Drosophila melanogaster: one gene and its partners. The gene in region 3 interacts genetically with the main gene of each other region. Each region holds a gene or a part of one and is shown on either strand. Other genes may lie near its edges. The genes, in order: mam, rpr, Rbf and CycD.

What was found.
Region 1: of Rbf (region 3) and mam, changing one enhances a phenotype caused by changing the other (phenotypic enhancement), as found in Drosophila melanogaster (one study listed by BioGRID).
Region 2: of Rbf (region 3) and rpr, changing one suppresses a phenotype caused by changing the other (phenotypic suppression), as found in Drosophila melanogaster (one study listed by BioGRID).
Region 4: of Rbf (region 3) and CycD, changing one suppresses a phenotype caused by changing the other (phenotypic suppression), as found in Drosophila melanogaster (3 studies listed by BioGRID).

Annotation. Positions count from the first base shown.
Region 1 is NT_033778.4:13,989,367-13,994,229, reverse strand, and holds the start of mam (mastermind), read right to left. Parts: upstream 3,028-4,863; 5' UTR 2,738-3,027; intron 2,253-2,737; 5' UTR 2,126-2,252; intron 1-2,125. Other genes in the region: RN-tre (uncharacterized protein), read left to right, coding at 4,394-4,545, 4,606-4,863.
Region 2 is NT_037436.4:18,397,000-18,400,053, reverse strand, and holds rpr (reaper), read left to right. Parts: upstream 1-1,618; 5' UTR 1,619-1,818; coding exon 1,819-2,016; 3' UTR 2,017-2,519; downstream 2,520-3,054. UniProt on the Drosophila melanogaster protein: Activator of apoptosis, as well as grim and hid, that acts on the effector Dredd.
Region 3 is NC_004354.4:796,577-803,141, forward strand, and holds Rbf (Retinoblastoma-family protein), read right to left. Parts: upstream 4,904-6,565; 5' UTR 4,210-4,903; coding exon 4,021-4,209; intron 3,942-4,020; coding exon 3,802-3,941; intron 3,741-3,801; coding exon 3,552-3,740; intron 3,490-3,551; coding exon 3,135-3,489; intron 3,072-3,134; coding exon 2,740-3,071; intron 2,438-2,739; coding exon 1,702-2,437; intron 1,567-1,701; coding exon 1,186-1,566; intron 1,117-1,185; coding exon 901-1,116; 3' UTR 514-900; downstream 1-513. Other genes in the region: CG13359 (uncharacterized protein), read right to left, coding at 5,369-6,565.
Region 4 is NC_004354.4:15,906,288-15,911,573, forward strand, and holds CycD (cyclin D), read right to left. Parts: upstream 3,390-5,286; 5' UTR 2,823-3,389; coding exon 2,250-2,822; intron 2,032-2,249; coding exon 1,810-2,031; intron 1,747-1,809; coding exon 1,572-1,746; intron 1,513-1,571; coding exon 1,367-1,512; intron 1,305-1,366; coding exon 987-1,304; 3' UTR 535-986; downstream 1-534.

The DNA of each region.
Region 1 (4,863 bases), on a different chromosome or scaffold from region 3:
CAACTGACTCAACGACAAAATATGCCACAGAAAAGGACGGCATTAGAGCGTCGAACAGAGATGGCAGACGCACAGAAGGAGATGGAGTTGAAGACTGGAGCCTCGGGAGATCTCTCGTATCCGAATAAATGCAGAACATGGTGCGAAATATTTAATACAAAAATGTTGAAAAGGAGTTTGGCCTGACAAAATAAAGCACCACACTAAACCATGTACAGTGAAATGTTGATAACTTAAACTGGGATTACTGCATATGTTATTCTTTGCATAAGCTGACCTTAGAAAAACATTACCCTGTTTCTTAAATGGAGAAAGTAATGGAGGAGCTTTTAAAAATTTCAACATCAACATATATATACTACAGTTATTTTTTATTTAATCAAATCCACAAATTCACACCCGGAATGAAATTTTTTTTATTTCAAGAATTTTAAGATTGAAATGGTATGCATTTATTTTCTTCTTATTGTAGTTTTTTAACTTAAGTGAAATAAGGCTTATGTTATATGGATTCAAAAATGAATGAATACAGGAAATTCCATGGCGCGCAGTTCGCGATACGGAGGCAAACCTGTAGCAGCCAACTGCAGCAGACGAAGCGAGGTGAGGCCAAGTAAACCTGTTTACAGTTCAAACTTCGCATTCGATATATTCGATGTGAACTCTTTTTTGTTGTGCCATAGTAGGTATGTTCGTCTGGCAGGTTCTGGGGCTGCTTCTTCTTGGCCAACCGAGTTGTTTTAAGCCACCTACGAAGTCGAAGCTTAGGCCGGGTTATCTTCAGCTTAATTGGGTCATTCACACGCGCCACTTGCTCGTCGATAGAGATGGATATACGGCTCCAGAGGGAGATAAAGATACAGCTGGAGACACTGCTGAAAAACACACACAACTTTTTCAGCCTAGCAACAACTTCCGGTGTCTCAAAGACGAAACGAACAAGAAACTAAAGACGAGGCATACATTACATGTTAGACCACTCGAAGACGTACATATGCGAAGACGGGGGCAAAACAAACGGCGGCGAACAGAGGGAGATACATGTATGTAAAAAAAAAAAAAGGAAAGGCAAATAATACTGTTTATCAAGTGATGAAAAGCATTTAAAATGTCGAGTATGCCAGGTATTGTGTTTAAATGCATGCCCTTCGTCGCATTTCGGTTGGAATGCATCTGATATTGGTAAGGAGAATGTTCAAAAGACATAAGCTGAATGCTGTTAATAATTTTAAAAATATTTAAGCAATAAATGCATATATTGCATAATGGCATTAAAACAAAAGGCAATACAGAATTCTTTATTTGAATATTTATTTTGATTTTTGGAGTTACAAAAAACTAACGATAATAATATAAGATGGAATGTTTCGTATACAAAATACAAATAATAAGATCCAAAAGAAATTTATAAATCAATCTTAAAAAACTCTTTAATATTCGAAAGAATTAAAATTCTTCTTTCCCCAAAAATATATATTGAAATATTTCTCGAATTGGTTTTAAAAAAGAAAATTCTAGTATCTTATAGATTGAAGTAACGAAACAACGGTAGATCTCTCCCACACTCAATCTTTTCTACCTACAAGGATCAAACGAAATCAAAGGATCAACGTTGAAGAAGAAGCAGAGAGAGAGAAAGAAAGAATCAAAGACAGGGCAAAAACAAAGTCATCAGTCCAAAGACAAAGGCAAATAAATGGAGAGACAAAAGAGACGGCCATAAAAACTCAACCGACAACTTCTGGATGTGCGAAAGGGACGGCAAGGGTAGAGCGAGAGGTGTGTGCATCCATCATTTTCTAGGCGATGCAAGCAAAAGCAATAGCAACAACCACAACAAACTGCAGTTTGGGCTTAGGAAATTATTTGGCAATTCCAAAGCCTCGAAAAACTGGTCTTGATCCATTTTTAAAAGCCGAGCTTTGACTCAAGCTCCCCTCAAACATAAAAACATCAATCATGCGAAGTTCTACACGAAAAGCGCTTCAAGGTCTTATCAACATGAGAAGAGAAAAAAAGGCATATGAAAACCCGAAATAGAACTGGTTTTGAAATGCAAAAAGCCACCCACACGAAACTAAAACGCTATAAACTAATTAGGCGATAAGAGACTTAACTTACTTACCCAGAAGCTGTGCTGATAATCCAACTTGATTTTGATTTCCTTTGATTTGCTATTTGCTATTTTCCATTTGTTATTACTGTTGTTATTTCAACTTAGCATTTATCCAATGCTTTGAATTTTAATCCAACTGCAACAACAACAAGAACGGCACAATTTTATTAGCTGGCCAATGCAACAACAATCAAAAGAGCAGAAACTCTCCGCTCTCCTCTCTCGATGTCTTCGTGTATGTGCAAAAATCAAAACAAAACACGGCAAAAACACTTATAACTCAAAGAGAGCGAATGAGAGAATGAGAAAGAGAGTGATCCGCTTTGCTTTTGTTTTAGTTTTTAGTGACTGCAACATGTTGAATGTGTTTACTCTTGCCCTAACGGTAAATGCTAGAGCTGCAGTTTAAAAATCCTCTGCTCGTCTCGAATTGAAAATCAAAAATTTACACGCGGCAATTTTCTTTTGCATCACAAAATCCACAATCACTCACACGCACACACAAACACACATATATATATATATATATATATATATATATATATATAAACGCACACCTTTAAAAAGGACGCTGTTGAGGGTTGCATTTTATGTTAAACATAATATTAATTATTTGCTTACTTTTATCTCACAATGCACTCTTAGAAATTTCCACTGTTATGTTATTCATGTGTTTGCATAAAACTGGAGAAATTAAACACGGTATCTCAACAAAAATAAAAGAAAGCCGCCAACAAAATCGGTTATGTTTGACTTCTTTTCACTTTGATATACACCTTAATTCATTTGCTTGTTCAATTAGCATGCACTCCTTAGTTATTTGGTACAGTGTATTTTTTACGAGAGTTCTCGACAATTTTCGAGCGCTAAAACAAAGAAACCGCGCTCGATGATAAAAACCGCGTCCGACTGCCGCTGTTTTTTTGTTGTTTTGAGAGGCGCTAGTGGTGGAACGATGGCTGGGAAAACATCGATAACGCTATCGATCAAGCGATTACTTATCCTTCTGTTGCTGACGATGTTTTCCAGTTGAATGTATGGCAGCACTGCTTATTTAGTCACAAAAATTATATTTGAATTAAAAAGCCGATTTTGTTATCAAGAAATAAATTTTGAAGTGAAAATGTTTTCCACAAATGTTTTAATTCATTAAGTGCCACTTGTCGCAATTAAGTAACTGAATAGGTTTTAAATAATAAGTAAATAAATATCATTGTTAAATATTTATAAATGAGCATTCATTTGCAGCTTTAAATAGATAAACATTTTACATATTTGTACATTGACATCACAAACATTTCAACTAAAATTTAAACTCGTATAACATTACGCTAAAGTATCGCTTAAATATTGGCTCGCATCCCTGGTACTCTTGTTACGTTACGTTATTCGGCAATTACATCAGTCTGGCAACTCTGGCCCTCACACACACTCAGTCGCCCCCCAAATGTATCGGAAACATGCAGCCGAGATAAAATAGTGAAAAACTAGTTACCAAACATAACCGATCAGTGCGGATAATAAGAATTGGCAATTCAAAATTAAATGGTAAACGAACGTCGGCGCGATTAATTAAACTCAACCATAGGAACGCGGAGAGAGTGGCCAGTGAAAGCCAGAACACTCTCTTTCGTCGGAGCGTCTGTGTGTGTGTGTGTTACGTGTGTGCGTATGTGTCTGTGTTGACAAAATACAACAAATCGCAGCGAAAACAGGAAGTGTACGAACGATAAAGCATAAGATTGCACATTTCGCATTAAAATAGGCGACAAAAACCCGGGGGCGCATGCAGATCCACACATTTCTGGCCCACTCACACTCACACAACGCAGATCAGGGGGCGTTTTTCTAGATCAGTGACCAAGTCTTATATGGCTTTATGTTTTGATGCTGCACTAAATATGGGTGAAACATCACGTCATTTATGCCACGCTCCTTCTCCAAAAACAAAGATCATGTTGATTTCACTGCATTTGAATATATATATATATATATACAATAGTTAATGTTCGTGTGCGTCATTCGCTCATCAGCTATATAGTATACGAGTGTTGTTATTGTGGATCGCTTTCGCATGTTAATGCTTTTGTGTGTTATTTTTTCCATTCCATTTTTTTTTTATCAAAGTTTCGCGCTATCGCCCAGTCAGCTCAGAAGCAGCCGCTCCCCAACTGAGAGCACAGAGAAACCAGCTCTGGCCACTTGCTCCTCCGGATCCGGCTCCTGCTCCTGTCCCCGATCCCCTCCCCCACCCGCCAAATCCTGATCCTGCTCCAAATGACTGACGGCGAACAGCAGGAGGCGCTGGTCAAGCGGGCCGAGGACGAGCGCGAGGACATCTTCCGGCGCTACGAACTCGGGCTGGATCCCAGCAATGTGGTGGACTCCTGGGAGAATCCCACCTTCGAGATCTACCACAGGACAGACAAGTGAGTAATATTAATCATTCGCCAGAAAAAATCCCAATAATGCCATTGATGCTCCCACAGATATGGCTTCTTGCACGACTCGCGGCTGCCGTCGACGCGTGATGCCCAGGAGGTGCATCGCAACAAGATTGAAATGGAGCGGGACAAAAAGTGGATGAAGATGCTAAATCAGTGGCCGCCGCCCCAGGATAAGCTGCACAAGCGCGTCTACAAGGGCATACCGGATCGCGTGCGTATGGTGGCCTGGAATAAGCTGCTCGACATCCAGCAATCGATAAACAACAATGCTGGCGTCTACCTCCGAATGCTGCAGCTGGC
Region 2 (3,054 bases), on a different chromosome or scaffold from region 3:
CGTCGTAAGATTCGGCTGTTTGCCTGTGTGTGGGTACGGTATTACGGTACTACGGCTTTGTGGGTGGAGTTTGAATGGAACTTAAAACTCATCGCGGTTCTTTGGGTGGGGTAAAAGATTTTAGAATTATGCAGGTGGAGTTTCAAGAGCTAATTTTCTATTACATATATATATGAAATTTATTTAAACATCATAACGAAATTAAGAACAAAACAATAGTATGTTTATGGGTAATCCGACTTAGATACGATGAAAAATGATGAAATATGTATTTACGTCATTAAAGAGAAAGTTTCAGTTGAGATTTAAAATGTAAACGACCTATATATAATAATGCAGAATATATATTATTAAAGATAATTTCAATAAGCTTCCTATATGTTGGAAGAATACATTGTTCGGATATCATATCCATCAGGAAGGCAATTAATAATACTTTAAGCCGCAGGGAAATTTTCGTGTATGATTTCCAACGAAAACATTCATATCGTATCATATCATATCCGTCTGGTTCCGCTCTAATGAAAATGAATAAAATTGCACACGAAATATAATGGGACGAGCCCATTGTTGTCAATATACTGTATATGGCCTTTAATTTATGACATTGTCATAATTCTTAGTCGGAAGCTTCGGATGATTGTGTAAACACTTGTAGAGCGCGAGATACTGATAAAGAGGGATCTATCTAGATATGGCAGGTGGGCTGGTCCATGGAAAAGAGAGAAAATAATTCAAGAAATGGAACGGAACTCTTCCTTGCCCACTTGCCCATATTTCAAGTGAATCCGCCTCCCACTTGTTATAATACCCTTACAAGAAGCTATTCTGCTTAATTATGTAAATAGTTTGTACTTTAAATGTTGTACTATTAATAGCATCAATGTGTCCAACCTAAAAAATATTGGTTTTATTTTTCCATCATTTTTAGTTGGAATTTTCTTATTAATTACAATTCAAGAATTTAATCATATTATAGAAAATATACTGGCGGTAATAGCTAAAAGGACTTTTTGCTGATTGACATAGATGAAAATAAATATTTTTAATATTTAAGAAATGAAATTCGAAGGATTAATATGAAACCGGCTAGATGGTTGTACTTGGCTGTTATCAGGTATCCGGCTTAGTTTAGTTGCTAATCACTAATGGGTAGCTAGTGTAAATAATGTTAATCTTAGAGGGTATTCCAAACTTTAGTCGTGAAGCAACTCTTGTATGTCTTTCTCTGTCGAACTCCTTGATGAGAAACGATTGTCATGCCCCGACGATTTAATACAATTAATATGCTAACTGTACTTCTCGCCGCACACAGTTACAACAAAGGCGCTGCCACCAACCTGGCAACAACAACACAACCTCATACAAAAACACGCTTGGCAACAGGCGCAAGGTGGCCCCGCCCCCGCTCACGATGAAAAGTAGTACTTTTTTGGGAGCTGCGAATGAGACGATGTCAACAGAAATACCAAAACAAAAAAACCCCAGCCAGAGAGCCGAAGAGCGAAGAAGGCCAAAATGAGCAGCCACCACCAGAAAAACAGAGAACAAGGCGGCGTGAGAGAACCAGGTATAAATAGCCTCGGAGCACTACTCAATATATTCAGTTGAAAAGCAACCATCGCAGCGAACGCATCTCGAAAAAATCATTGAATAAGAGAGACACCAGAACAAAGTGAACGAACTCGAAAATACGAAAGAAAAGTGTGTGCGCCAGCAACAAAGAACTAACTCGATAAATATTCATTGTGCAGAAGAGAAAGTTATTGAGTCACTACCAGTTGTGTAATTCCGAACGAGAAGAAAGATAAACCAACAATGGCAGTGGCATTCTACATACCCGATCAGGCGACTCTGTTGCGGGAGGCGGAGCAGAAGGAGCAGCAGATCCTTCGCTTGCGGGAGTCACAGTGGAGATTCCTGGCCACCGTCGTCCTGGAAACCCTGCGCCAGTACACTTCATGTCATCCGAAGACCGGAAGAAAGTCCGGCAAATATCGCAAGCCATCGCAATGAGGATTCGAGTAACTAACAAATACGGGGAAAACCAATAGTCCAGTCCAAAATCCAGAGTACAAAGGAAATAAGCATGAGCCAACCCAAAACCCAAACACAGTCACCACTCATCAGCCGACGGCACTCGATTTCTACTGCAGTCAAGGACACAGAGCCACAACACCCACCCAATTTTAGTTTACTCATCAAAGCGATTGTGATAATGGTTTTGTTTCTACAAAAAAGCGGAGGAAAAATTTGAAAAAATAACGTTTTTATAAAGTCCCCAATTTTTTACAAAAATGTTTCAATGATATAAATCAACTTTTTTAGAAATAATTTACTCTTAAAGCCTATTTAAATGAATTACTACTGTAATAGTTTGTAAGTTCTTTTGTAAGACGAGTTTTTCTAAGTTTTTTTTAAGAAGAAACCCCAGAAAAAAACGAAGATGAGTCGAAGTTGGCTAAAAATTGCATCAATTTTTTGTCAAACAAAAAGTCAATAAAACAAAAACAAAAACTAAAAAAATTGTTGGTTTTTCATTTACTTAAATATTTTCAGATTACCATTTATAAGATTTAGATACAAAAAGCGAAGAAAGCCTAAGATGATGTCTCGAAAAACTGAGTTTGGAACAAGCACATTTTTTATTTCATTTCGCCGACGGTAAAAGGAACTTTCTAGAAGGCTGTTTAATAATCAGTGAAATTATCGGTGGTTGTGAAAATTATTTTACATGTGTTTGGTTAGGAAACGTTAAAGATTTTTTTTTGTTTTGAAAAAGTTTTTCATTTGATTTCCGGCGTTCGGTGACAGAGTCCGCTTTGAAATATATCTTAATAAAATATTAAGATTGATATTGCCGGAAATAATAATAATAATAATAATTATAATAATAATAATAATTTAGTTATAATAATATTAATGCAAGCTAATTTCTTGAATTATTGTAGAACGAATATAATTATAAATCGGTATTACATATAATAGAATCTTAACCACATTATTTTTAGTTTTGATATAAACTATTTGTTGTAGAAAGTTAAACCACGTTTT
Region 3 (6,565 bases):
ATCACTGGTGTGCGCTCTGTTCCGAATTAACGGTTGTGCTGCTTTCCTATTGGTCAATTGGTAACTGGAAAGATCGAAAGGGCTGCCAGCTGCAGCTTGCTAGGGATTCTGTTGGCCTAGTGTCTGGGACCCGACAGTTGTCTGCGAAAAATGTTGCCCCGTCGTAAATTTTGTCAAAAATTTGTGAATTCTCAGTGGCTGAACACCAGGCAAACAAAAATTGCCACATAGGGCAGACATCATAAAGTAACTAACGGTTTCTCCCCATCTTTGGCTTCCTATTGGTCGAATGGGCTGACTGGAAAAGCGTAAGGCGCAGCCATCTTGAAAAGGATCAGCTGTTTTAGTTAATTTGAGCGGCCAGCTAGCACCTGTTACTGTTTCTGTTCGCCTGGTGCCTGAAACTTGTAAAGGTGGCAATTTCGACCAGAGAAATTACGATTTTAAACATCCCATCCTTTGTACGACGACGTAGATCGACTACGAAAATGTTTAAATAAATACAATTAACATCAATTTGTAAAAAGTATATTTGTATATAAGCTTTTATATATAATGTGGATTGCATTAATTTGATTTGTTTTTTTGTTAGTGATTTTTAAATCGCGGGGAGTCGCGACCGATGGATGTGTGTGTGTGTGGTGATCAAGTATTTAGTACAACTATTTCAAAGTATTGGGTTAGCATATGAATTATATGGTTGGCTGGCGTTGAGCAAAATTAAAAGATGTGCTAAAATAGTTTGTTGAAATTAAGTTAAAATGTCAATTTAAGTTTTAATATTTAAAAAAAAACAATCATAAAATAGTCGAACGTGCGCCGGAGGGGCCAGTGTGTGGCCTTCTGCGCCGAATTTTTAGTTCTTGCCTTAAGTCTAGTCTGCCCCCATAAGCCCCGTGTCTATGTCTCGTGTTCTCCTCCTTCGCCCCCTACGCAACCTTCCGTGGTAACAGCAGTCTGCTGCTCGGCTGACTGCAGTTCAGGGTCGTCCATGACGGCCTTGACCTGGCTGATTTTCGAGCGCTTCGTCTCTGCCATTGTACCTAGTCCGGGCTCGTCGCCAAAGCTCAGCATGCGCTTGCCGCCGCGTACCTTTTCGTTCATAGCCTGAAGGTCCTGCGGGTATAGCAAGCGGATTAATCGATGTTATAGCTGAGGAGGTGGACGCAACTCCGAAATATTTACCTTGGCGGGGCTGCGGCAAAAACTGTAGACCATCTGGTTGGGCGACTGCTGTATCTCGTTCTTGGACATCTGCGACACGAACAGCGAGTGGCTCTGGGTTACCTTCTTGGGCTGGGCGGCCCGTTCCTTCGGATGCGGGGAGAGCTGTAGATCCGAAGCCCGGCCACTCACGTCCGGAGTTACGTTTAGGTAGTCGATGACGAACTGCCGCATCAGCGGCACGTAAGTGTGGTTGTAAAAGTGAATGATGTCCTTCACCTTTGGCTCCCCGTCCTCGTTGATGTCGATGAACACCTCGCGGTAGACGCTGTTCACCGCCTGCGGCTGGTTGCGATATGCCCGCATAATGTCACTGAACTTGGGGTCCTCCATTCGCTTTACCTGCGGGTTGTAAGGAGTTGCATGGATGTTATAAGTGGGTCTTCAGCTGCACACGGACGAATGCATCTGATTATGTGCATTTCAAAATGTATGCCAGCGAATCGGACAGAGATAGAATGTGGATGTGCTACTCACTCTTATGTAGATATATATTGCACACATAATATTTTGATCGAGGTGGCGGTCCTTCATCAATTCCGTCTCGTGGGTGATCGAGTGCTCAAAGATGTGCCAGATGCTCTCGGGCGTCTTCTCGCACAGTGACAGCTCCGAGCACAGCTTCTGGATGCGCAACCAGCCAAGCAGGTACACCTTGCGCAGGAATATCTGCAAGGGGCCGGCGGCGCGGTCGAGGTTAACCATGAGCCACGTGGGCAACGGCAGTTGGGCGGAGGCGATCATTTCCCAGACGGTCGAGTTCCTCGCCCAGGCCAGCCGCTCCAGACACGTCTCCTCGATGGAGTTAAGGTGCTTTATCAGCGACCGGTTCAAACAGCCTTCGTGCGAGCCGTGCCGCACCACGATCTCGATGATCTTTTGGAACTCGAACGCGCTAATACTGAAACAGTCGAGCACCCACGGGAACTTGAGCTCCGTTTTGTAGGCCTCCAGCACCAGCTCCACGCAGCAGGCCATCAGCGTGATGTTAAAGATGACCAGGGAGACCTTCTGCACCAGCAGTCGCTTGAGATCGATGTCGGGCTTGTTCCGAATTTCCGCCTGCAGGATCTGGTCGAGCAGGTAGAAGAAGAAGGACTTCGCTAGTTGGAAGCGACTCTTCGCCTCCGTTGACGGGTACTTGGCGAGGAATTTCTGCTCGATCTCCTCGATGATGCTAAGCAGCTTGGCTATTACCTCTTCGCCAGCTTGCCTGGATAAAGACAGGGCGATATCAAAACATGAGCTATAGAAATCAATCCCGGATTTAATCTAATCGATTCTTCTTACATCAACAGAAATTTCTATGGATGTGTGCTTCGGCTAACGAAATTCGATATTCGATATTTCCTACGATTTATAAAGCAATCAAATAAACATGAGTTTTGTTTACACGACGCCAACGACTTTCAGCCATTTGGACATAGAGATAAGCCTTTTCTCTCTCACAGGTTTTGAATGATAGTTAGGAACACTCGACACCCAACCCAAATACAAGGCCAGCCGGCAACTCACTTGACAAAGTCCGTGGGTTCTGTGATCCGTCCGAAGGCGCTCAGCTGCTTCACGTTGTTAGTGGCGTTGCGGACGGGCTCAAATTTATCGCCAGCCATCGCGGGCTGCGCAGGCAGATCTTGCTTGCGGGTAAGCGGAGTAACCGGCGGACGCAGGGACTGGTCGTTGAGGGCAGTGTGTTCCCCCGCATCGTAGGCACTCAGAATGCGTTCGTCGAATTCGCCGACGCTGAGGACGTACTGCTCGTAGCTGATGTTGAGGGACTTTAGGTTGCGCTCGAAGTTTTCGTTAGCCAATAGGCCTAACATAGTGTCCTTGTTGCCGTAGATGGTCTGGTCGAAATGAAAATAGAACAAATTAATTGTTTTAATGGAAATCCGAAACGGCACTCCTACCGAAGCCTGAAAGAAGCTCGACATGATCTGGCGGAAAGTGGTGGCCTTCATGGCTTTAGCCTCCTCGGTCATGTCACAGAAGTTGGACAAAATGCAGTGCGGATTGTGACGAAAGTCCAGCTCCGTCCAGTTGCTCGGCAGGCCCTCGAATTTGGGGTTGATGAGATCGGTGCGCTTCTCGGCCAGCACATTGTTGTATATCAGGTCTATGCAGCAAATCATCAGATTGTAGGATGTCACCAGGTCCACGGTGTTGCTCGGCTTCTGGTTCTTGGCGCAGAGAAACAGGCGCCAGCAGATGTCGTCCAGCTTGATGTACGAGCACTTTCCGTGGGCGTGGTTGCCATGCAGAGAACTGTTCCAAAGAGGGAAGCTTTTTATATACACGGGGTCAGGCTGACATGATGATATACGCACATGTACTTGGAGTGCTTCTTCTCGTTGGGCGGGCACGAGAAGATCATGTCCATAATAATGCGGAAACGCTTGTGCAGCATGAATGTAATGCTGAACTTGCGGTCCAGATCCTCAATCTCGTTGACAAACTCCTGAGGCAGGTTGGCCATGTCGCACCACTGCTTAATTTTGGTCTTGAACTCGTAGATGCTGTGGGTGGGGATTGTGGAAATGGTTAGGTGTGAAACTGCAGGCATAAACGGCAACCCACCTCATCTTGCAGCAGCGCAGCAAATTGTTTAAGGACACACAATTACCCTTGACCACTGCATTCTGGCCAGTCACCGTGGGTGTGCTGGTTCTTCGGCAGGCCGTGTAAATGGCGCAGCACATCCAGTGGCTGGCTGTGCCCTTTTAGGCAGGCAATGCACAGAAAGAATGAAAGAAAGGACGTTAGGTTGGAGGCTACTGCTGCCACTTCGAAGCTCACCTCCATGGAGCACCTCTGGGACACCTCTAAGTACGTCTCGTAGCCCTGCAGCTCTGTCTGCCGATCCATGTTTAGATCCCGGCATAGGTTCGTGTACTCGGCGTTGATCATCTCCAGGCGGTCGTCGCTGGTCGCCACCAATCCGCTGACCACCTCAGCTCCCAGTTCCTGCGGGTCAGGCTCGCTCATGTCTGCGAATGATGTCTCTGTCCCGGCTGATTGCGTATGCTTGCAGCGGCGGCCGCTGCTTCTGGCGACAGCCTGGAGTCGGAAATCGGAGACGGAGGCGCCTGAATTGGAGCTAGCCGGCTAACCGGGGCGTTGCGGGCCTGGCGCCGCTGTTTACGTCTAGTGGCCTGGCGCCTAGTGGCTGCCGGTGTATGCTGCGCTTGCCGCCGCGCTCCTCGCGGACATGTAACTGCGAGAGCTTACACTTAATTACAGAAATAATGAAGTTTCCCGCCGAAATGATTTGGGCGTGTGTGTTTGTGTGCGAGTGTTTGTCGCGTGTGTGTGTGTTCGCGATACACCCTTTTCTGAGGAACACAACAAAAGAGCAGGCGAGGGGACAGAACAAACAGCGCTGGGATGCTGCGATTAGCCAGGACCACACCACGGCCACGGTTGTTGGTTAAAACACATTAACAAAATAACTATTTCACAACTTAATCGCCATGGAAAACGCGGGAAACTTGACTAGTTGCGGCGGGCAGGTGCGTGTGATCCACTCCGCGTTCGAACTATCCACTTCTAGGGCTGCGCGGACGATGTGGCCCTAGGGATGGACTTGTGCAGAAGGAAAACTAATTTATTGCCACTACTTAAAGATTTTGCAATTGCGATTGCATAGTCAGAGTCTGACACGTTAATACAAGTTAATGGATTTTTAGTTGGGCGGCCGGTATTTCGCCAGCAAAGCCATGCGGTCACACCGACGCGCGCATTCGGCCAGTTTAAACGTGGTGGGGTGGTATTACTACAGTGCTTGGCGAGTTATGCAGTGACTGCAAGCAGTATGTCGTGTTGCATACATACCTAAATTGGGGGACCCTAAAATGAATTAGAACGAAATAATTGACAAAAATATGTGTACACATATAATTTATTTGCAATGCACAATGCTATTTGCATGTGTGCGGTAAACTGACAGTGTTGGTTAGCGTTCAAGAGCATTGCACATCGGCGATATAGCTAGTTGTAATCGATAGCCGCAAATTTAAATACTGCTTTGAACTTTATGGAAATTCGCGGGAATTCTTCGCGATTCAGCTACTAACATACATACATATACACTATACAATTTAGAGAACTTGCTGTCGCAGCACATACGACCCGAGCTACGACGTGGCTAACGTAGATACCGTCTTCTGAACCTCCTGGCCAGGAGGTGGAATAGCATGTGTCGCCGCATAAAGGCCGCCGTCAGACCTGCCGCCGTGGACAGCTCGTGGTTTTCTTGAGAATCGCTGGCCAGACTGGAGCTCTCGAAGGAATTGGAGGAATTGAAAGAGTCAGAACTCTCTGCCTGCGTATTCTGATCCGCACCAGTTCTAGCACTTCTCCAAATGGGTGTTGAAGAGCCGTCGGACTTACAGCCACTGGTGTTGGTTCTGGAGTTCGGGATCTGGGTTCTGTCGGGATGCTTCTCCAGCACAAGGCAATGCTGTCTTTTGAACGGTTGACTAGCAGACACACCGTACTTGGCTATCGCGCGGTTGAGCTCAGGATCGGGGATGTATGCACCGCGCGACAAAGACTCCGTTTTTCCGATCGATTTTCTTTTGGAAATATACCCGCTGACATATCTTTTTGGTCTAGAGAAACGTCTCGCGGAGGTTGCCTTCTCAATAGTCAATTTCCTCGCGGAGGTTGCATTGTCAATGGTCAAGTTCCTCGTGGATTTTGCCTTGTCAATAGTCATTTTCCTCGCGGAGGTTGCCTTCTCAATAGTCAATTTCCTCGCGGAGGTTGCATTGTCAATGGTCAAGTTCCTCGTGGATTTTGCCTTGTCAATAGTCATTTTCCTCGCGGAGGTTGCCTTGTCAATAGTCAATTTCCTCGCGGAGGTTGCCTTGTCAATAGTCAATTTCCTCGCGGAGGTTCCCTTGTCAATAGTCAATTTCCTCGCGTTGGTTGCCTTGTCTATAGTCAATGTCCCCGCGGAGGTTGAGTTGTCAATAGTCAATTTCCTAGCGGAGGTTGCCTTGTCAATAGCCAAGATCCTCGCAGAGTTTGCCTTGTCAATAGTCAAGTTCCTCGCAGAATTTGCCTTGTCAATAATCAATTTCCTTCGCTCCGCCTCCTCCGTCTGCAAAGTCTTGTGGTGCACCTCAACGCGATCCACAAGATTCTTGGCCGCCTTCTGATCAGCTAAATTCATCTCTGCACGCACCTTGCGGAGAGCAAGGCAGTCAATGATGCTATGACTCTGCCAAGTGACCTCCAGGTCGGCGGGGATTGGTGTTCCCTCTGACGCCAAGCAGCCCTGACTCGTCATTACTTGTTTCTGGCAAATGTCCATGAACTTGTCTCGCCGGCTAAGCAA
Region 4 (5,286 bases), about 15 Mb from region 3:
TGCTAGCTTCATAGTTTTCGTTTCCAGATGGTATTACATATATCCGTACATATATGATATTTCGAATCGCAGTGCAGGAGGCGGACGAGTGCAGGAATGCAATAAAGCCAGTATTTTTTTAAAGCTCAAAACAAAAACCGAAGAAATATCTAAAAGGAAAATCGTTAATTGCAGTGTTACAATGCTTCTACATTGATGGTAAAAAAAAAATCGAACTATGTACTCACTCTAAAAACTTGTATGAACTAAACTATCCTCAGAGCAATGAATTATATGCGAACAAATATTATTTAGCAACGCAATGTCCGCAAGAAATTATACAAAAACCTATTCAATGATAAATATTATGTGTGTGTTAAGGTTATGGTCTTTAACGATTCTTGTTTATAGACGTTTGTTAATAAGAAAATAAAGAAAAATTAAATTATTCGCATTGCCTTTAACTACTTGGATTCGTTTGGTAAGCTAATGCGATTTATCTGAAAGTAAATTATACGAAAATATACATACATCATAGAGGGCAGAGAAGAAATTGCTTTTTTCTATCATTTATTTGCCAACTTATATAATTGTTATCCAAAGTTAACTTTAACATATTGTTTTTCTCTTTATGTTGGATGGTTTTTAAAAAAATTGCATTTAATAGTTCGTTCTTTTTTGGTTATCTGTGTAGGATTTCGAAAAGCTTATATACAAAAAAAAAATGTTGCTTTGCTGCTTACAATCAGTCTCGTTTTTATGTTTCATCCATTTCAAAGTTTCATGATGATTATTTAAAACTATTTTATACAAAATATTTAGGATAGCTAAAAATAATAACCCATAGTTTGGTAAAAAATAGTTGCGTACATATAAAATACATCGATTCAAATGTAAATAGTGTGATATTGGCCAATCCTATAGTGATCGGACTATTTGGATCCTATATATAATTTCAACTTAAGCCTGACATAACTATCATGTATGCATAACTATCATTTGACACCTCAAAATGTAACGTCTTGTATCTCGTTTTGAGCCTGAGCCTGCGCCTGCATCTTGCACGTGTGCGTCCGATGTGGCGCTGCGGACCCAAAGTTGTGCTGCTGCTGGTGTTGCTCCACGCACTCGGCAGGAGCTTTCGGTAGCGGCAAGGGTCTAATTGAGATTTGCGAGAGATGCTGCGATTGATGTATTTGGAAGCGCCTCTTGTAGTATAATGTTGACATTTCTTTTGGGTCAATATTCACTAGAAATGGCTCTAGATTCCGACTGTGCTCCTTAAAGATGTCCTCCATGTGCAGCATACAATCTCGCACCTGAGCCTGTGCATTTAAAATCAATTGAGTGGTGGTACATAACAACACTGCTCCCTTGCCATACTCACTTGCTCCACGCTGGTTAGATCGGTCATCAGACTCAAAAGGAAGTGTAGATTGTGTCCCGATCGCAGATGCCACTTTAGGCCATTCATTGACGCAGCTATGCTCGATGCAGCTATGGTGCTGGCCGAGAACTTGGCAAACTTATGTTCTTCAAAGGAAGGGGTGGGAAGTCAGTACTTAAGTTGGACTGTTTTGTATATGGCTTACCTTTTGCTGCCAACGATATAAATGCCTGAGCATGTCCCCGCACTTTGCCAATGTTTATGTCCGGAAAGTTTTTGCTGCCTATCGGCAGGCGCATCATCAGAAGCTCAAGGAAGTCCAAGGGAGTCACAGATGAGAGGTCCCAGCCCAAGCGACTTAGCACATACAGCTCCCATTTCTTGGGAATGAAATGAAACCGCATGTTCACCGAAAGGTATTGTATTACGAGAAAGGTACTTACAATCAAATCATCCTTGTAGATGCTGTTGTCCGTGTAAACAACGAGTAGATCCACCGAAAGAGCACGACAGCTGGGTTCACGGAGCTTTGAAGCCAGTAAGAGGCAAGCTGCGGCCAAAATTTGTAGCTGGGTCTTGCGTACTGATTTGCTCGAAAGAAATCGATCCATGTAATTTAATGCCAGTAATACGACCTCTTCCTGGCAATTTTCCTCGGCACACACCTGTGAACATGTATTCAATTAATGAACGAAAAGGGTAGTCAAAATATTGTAATGGGTGTGCGATAAGGACTACTAAAACAAACACTAATTAATGAAGTTCTTGGAAACTTCCATCTATTTGGTAATATTTTCTAACAGATTATAAATAATGCGTATATCACAGTCGGCTAGCTTGATATGATTTGGATGCTGTATCTACATTTCGTTTAATTACTCACTTCCATCATCCATTCGGCGACAATTTTGCGCATCGGTGGCGTAATATCCTTCTGGATGCTAAAGTACGTGTCGGGAATTTTGTGGTGCTTCTCCTCGACCTTGAGGAAATTCTCCAGACACCGATCCGAATACAATGTGGGATCCCCGATGGCAGTGTTCACGTTGTCGGTTGCGGGTGGATCGGCTGTTGTGGTCAGGCGTTCGTCGAGTCGTTGGCAATGTGACGTCGGTGGCTCCTGGCTGATGTAACGCGGATAACTTTGGATTGATTGGGTCGCTGTCGGTGGTGGTGGCGGCGGTGGTGGAGGTGGCGGAGGCGGCTCCAATTGTTCTGGATTTTTCGCAGCCGAGTCCACGGACGCGTATATATACACCAGCTCCTTCATATTGCACACTACGGCATTGTTCTGGGCATCCGGATGGGAATCGGATTCCGCGTCCCCCAAGGATGAACATATCGATGATTGATCCCGAATGATCGCCGGTGAGGACATTTGCTGCTGTCGTTTGTTCAAACGATACAATGATGGATCTGATTCGTAGACTATGATTTCCGAGCATAAAAGATCCATTATATCGGCCATACGTTCCGTTTAAAGCTATGGATTCTATGGATCGCCGCACTCTCAAGCCATTTATGTGTGCCGATTTATCAGGAACTTTGGGTAACTCCGATATGGGAACACTGCGTACAATAGGAAATGATCGTACATAAGTACATACATACATATGTATGTTGCAACCTTCTTTTCACATTTAATTCAAGTATTTGCTCAAGTATGGGCACACTGCGGGCATATGTGTTTAGTCCTGTGGGAGCACTAGAGTATAGCATATAACCCTAATACCTTGACTTATTCATATGCACATTACATTATTTACATATTTTTTCGACCTGCTCAGAAATAACTCGTTCATTTCACACTATGTACTTATGTACATGTACATGCATGGCTATGTACGATCAGCTCGAGAACAAAAGTTTTCACTTACGCCTATTCTCGGAATTCTGGTTATATACAAACGGCACAGCACTTCATGGAGTAATGTAAATTAACTATTAAAAAAGTATACTCGAAGTTGCACACGTTTGCCACTTAACCGGCGTGGACAAAGCATTTATGTGAACCAGATAGTTACACCTTATGGCAGAAAAAAACTAGTTCAGCATGCCGTCATCGGAGTTATATCTCTTGCTCACTGCGATCAGTAAAACATATCGATCTTCATCGGTTATTAGTATAGTACTATCCTTTGCAATGAAAGGCAAGCGAAATACGTTGAAAAGGGGAACCTCCTCATTGCGTTTCCAACTTGTTGCTTGTGAAATATGTTTCACTTAGGGTTGTTATTAGAACATTAAAAACTTATAATCCATCAATGGGTTTGATGGACTATAAAAGGGTCTTACCCTTATAATAAAAACAAAGTTCTTCTAATTGCACTACTTTTTTTCTTAAATAAGCTTTTTGTTATACGATCTTACGAACTTACTCTTGATGTGAATTTCACATCACTCAAGTGTTCCAATTACTCCAGCAAAATCAAAAATACTAAAATATGCTAGGGCGTTGCCACCCTGCATTCATGTAAGGATGGTACTGACAGTCGATCTTTCGGCATGTCATACATTTAACGATCGTGGTCCACGACAAAATGGTCAGTAATGCAAAACTCACTGGCATCACCCTACTAGGTTGAATCGTGATCAAAACACCCTTATTAAATTCCGTTTAAATGGCCGGAACCTGTTGATTAAATGGCAGGTTGTTCGAAAGAGTCGTAAATAAATGAATGCTGCACTTAAAGATCCTGTACCGCTTACAAAAAGCATTGAACTGCTGTTATTTTCTTTAGGGTTGTACTTAAACAGTTTTAGATGACAAACAGTAAGACATGTAAGAAACCTAAAATAATTTCACTAAAAAAATTCTAAAAGCAATTGTAAAAAAAAGATATAATCTTTGCTGCTTTGTTTAATAATTAATAAGATATTGATAAAAGGGTAAAAAGCTTTCGCGACTTAGGAATGCCAGGTTAATGATAAACAAAAGTAACCTGTGGATCCCTTCCGAGAAATGATGTACCGATATATGTACACATCGAGATTAAAATGGACTTCCATGTCCATTGTCCTAATTTCGGTGCTGCAGTTTTTTGTTGTTTTTTAGGAAAAACTGCAGCGTGGAGAATGCTTTCAATGATACAATCCTTAATTGGGTTCGCATTTTGCTAACTTAGTTGTTGCAAATTAATTTACCCTCACTCTCGGCACACAGACAAAAGCTCGCTTCCCAGAAAAAGCTTAAGGATTCAGAGAAAACTTTGAAACAGCACACGAGAGTTGAGTGGAACACTCGCGTCCGCCGACTTCGCTTTCCGTCAGAGGGATGCTGTAATCCCCTGAAATTTTATATTCGTTATATTCCCGAAGAAGACAAGAGACGTGCTGTACGAAAATAATTTTTCATTCACGTAAATTACCCACACAAATGTGTGTGGAACAATTAGCTGATTCAATTGTTCTCGCCCGCCACTTGCTAATTGGAATCGAAAAGTGTCAAAGTTTCAGGAGGTTCTTTTTGTTTAATAATACTGTGTTTAATATGCATATGTTCGCGTGTGTGGTGCTCATGACATACATACATAAATGCCAACAAAGTCCCAAATATCGCATTCATTTGCGAGGGGACTTCGCAGGACGTTATAAACACCTTTATACCACATTCTGGAAATGCCAAACGCAGTGCCAAGCCCACGCAACTTTATAATAGGATATACATTGAATGAAGTAGTGCCATGAATGCCGTGCCGCATGATATTTGATCCATTCACGGAGTCGGTCCTGGACCTACAAAGTCACAATAAACCTTCTGTTTAGTGAGACAGCGTAATGTGAAAAATGTTGAGGACGTACAAGCCAGGCATTTAAATTTATTAACTTACAATAAACATTTATGTAAATCATAAAAAACCCAGTGACACAATAAGTAAATAACAAAGACCAGAAGTAACCAAGTGCTTACAAATAAGATG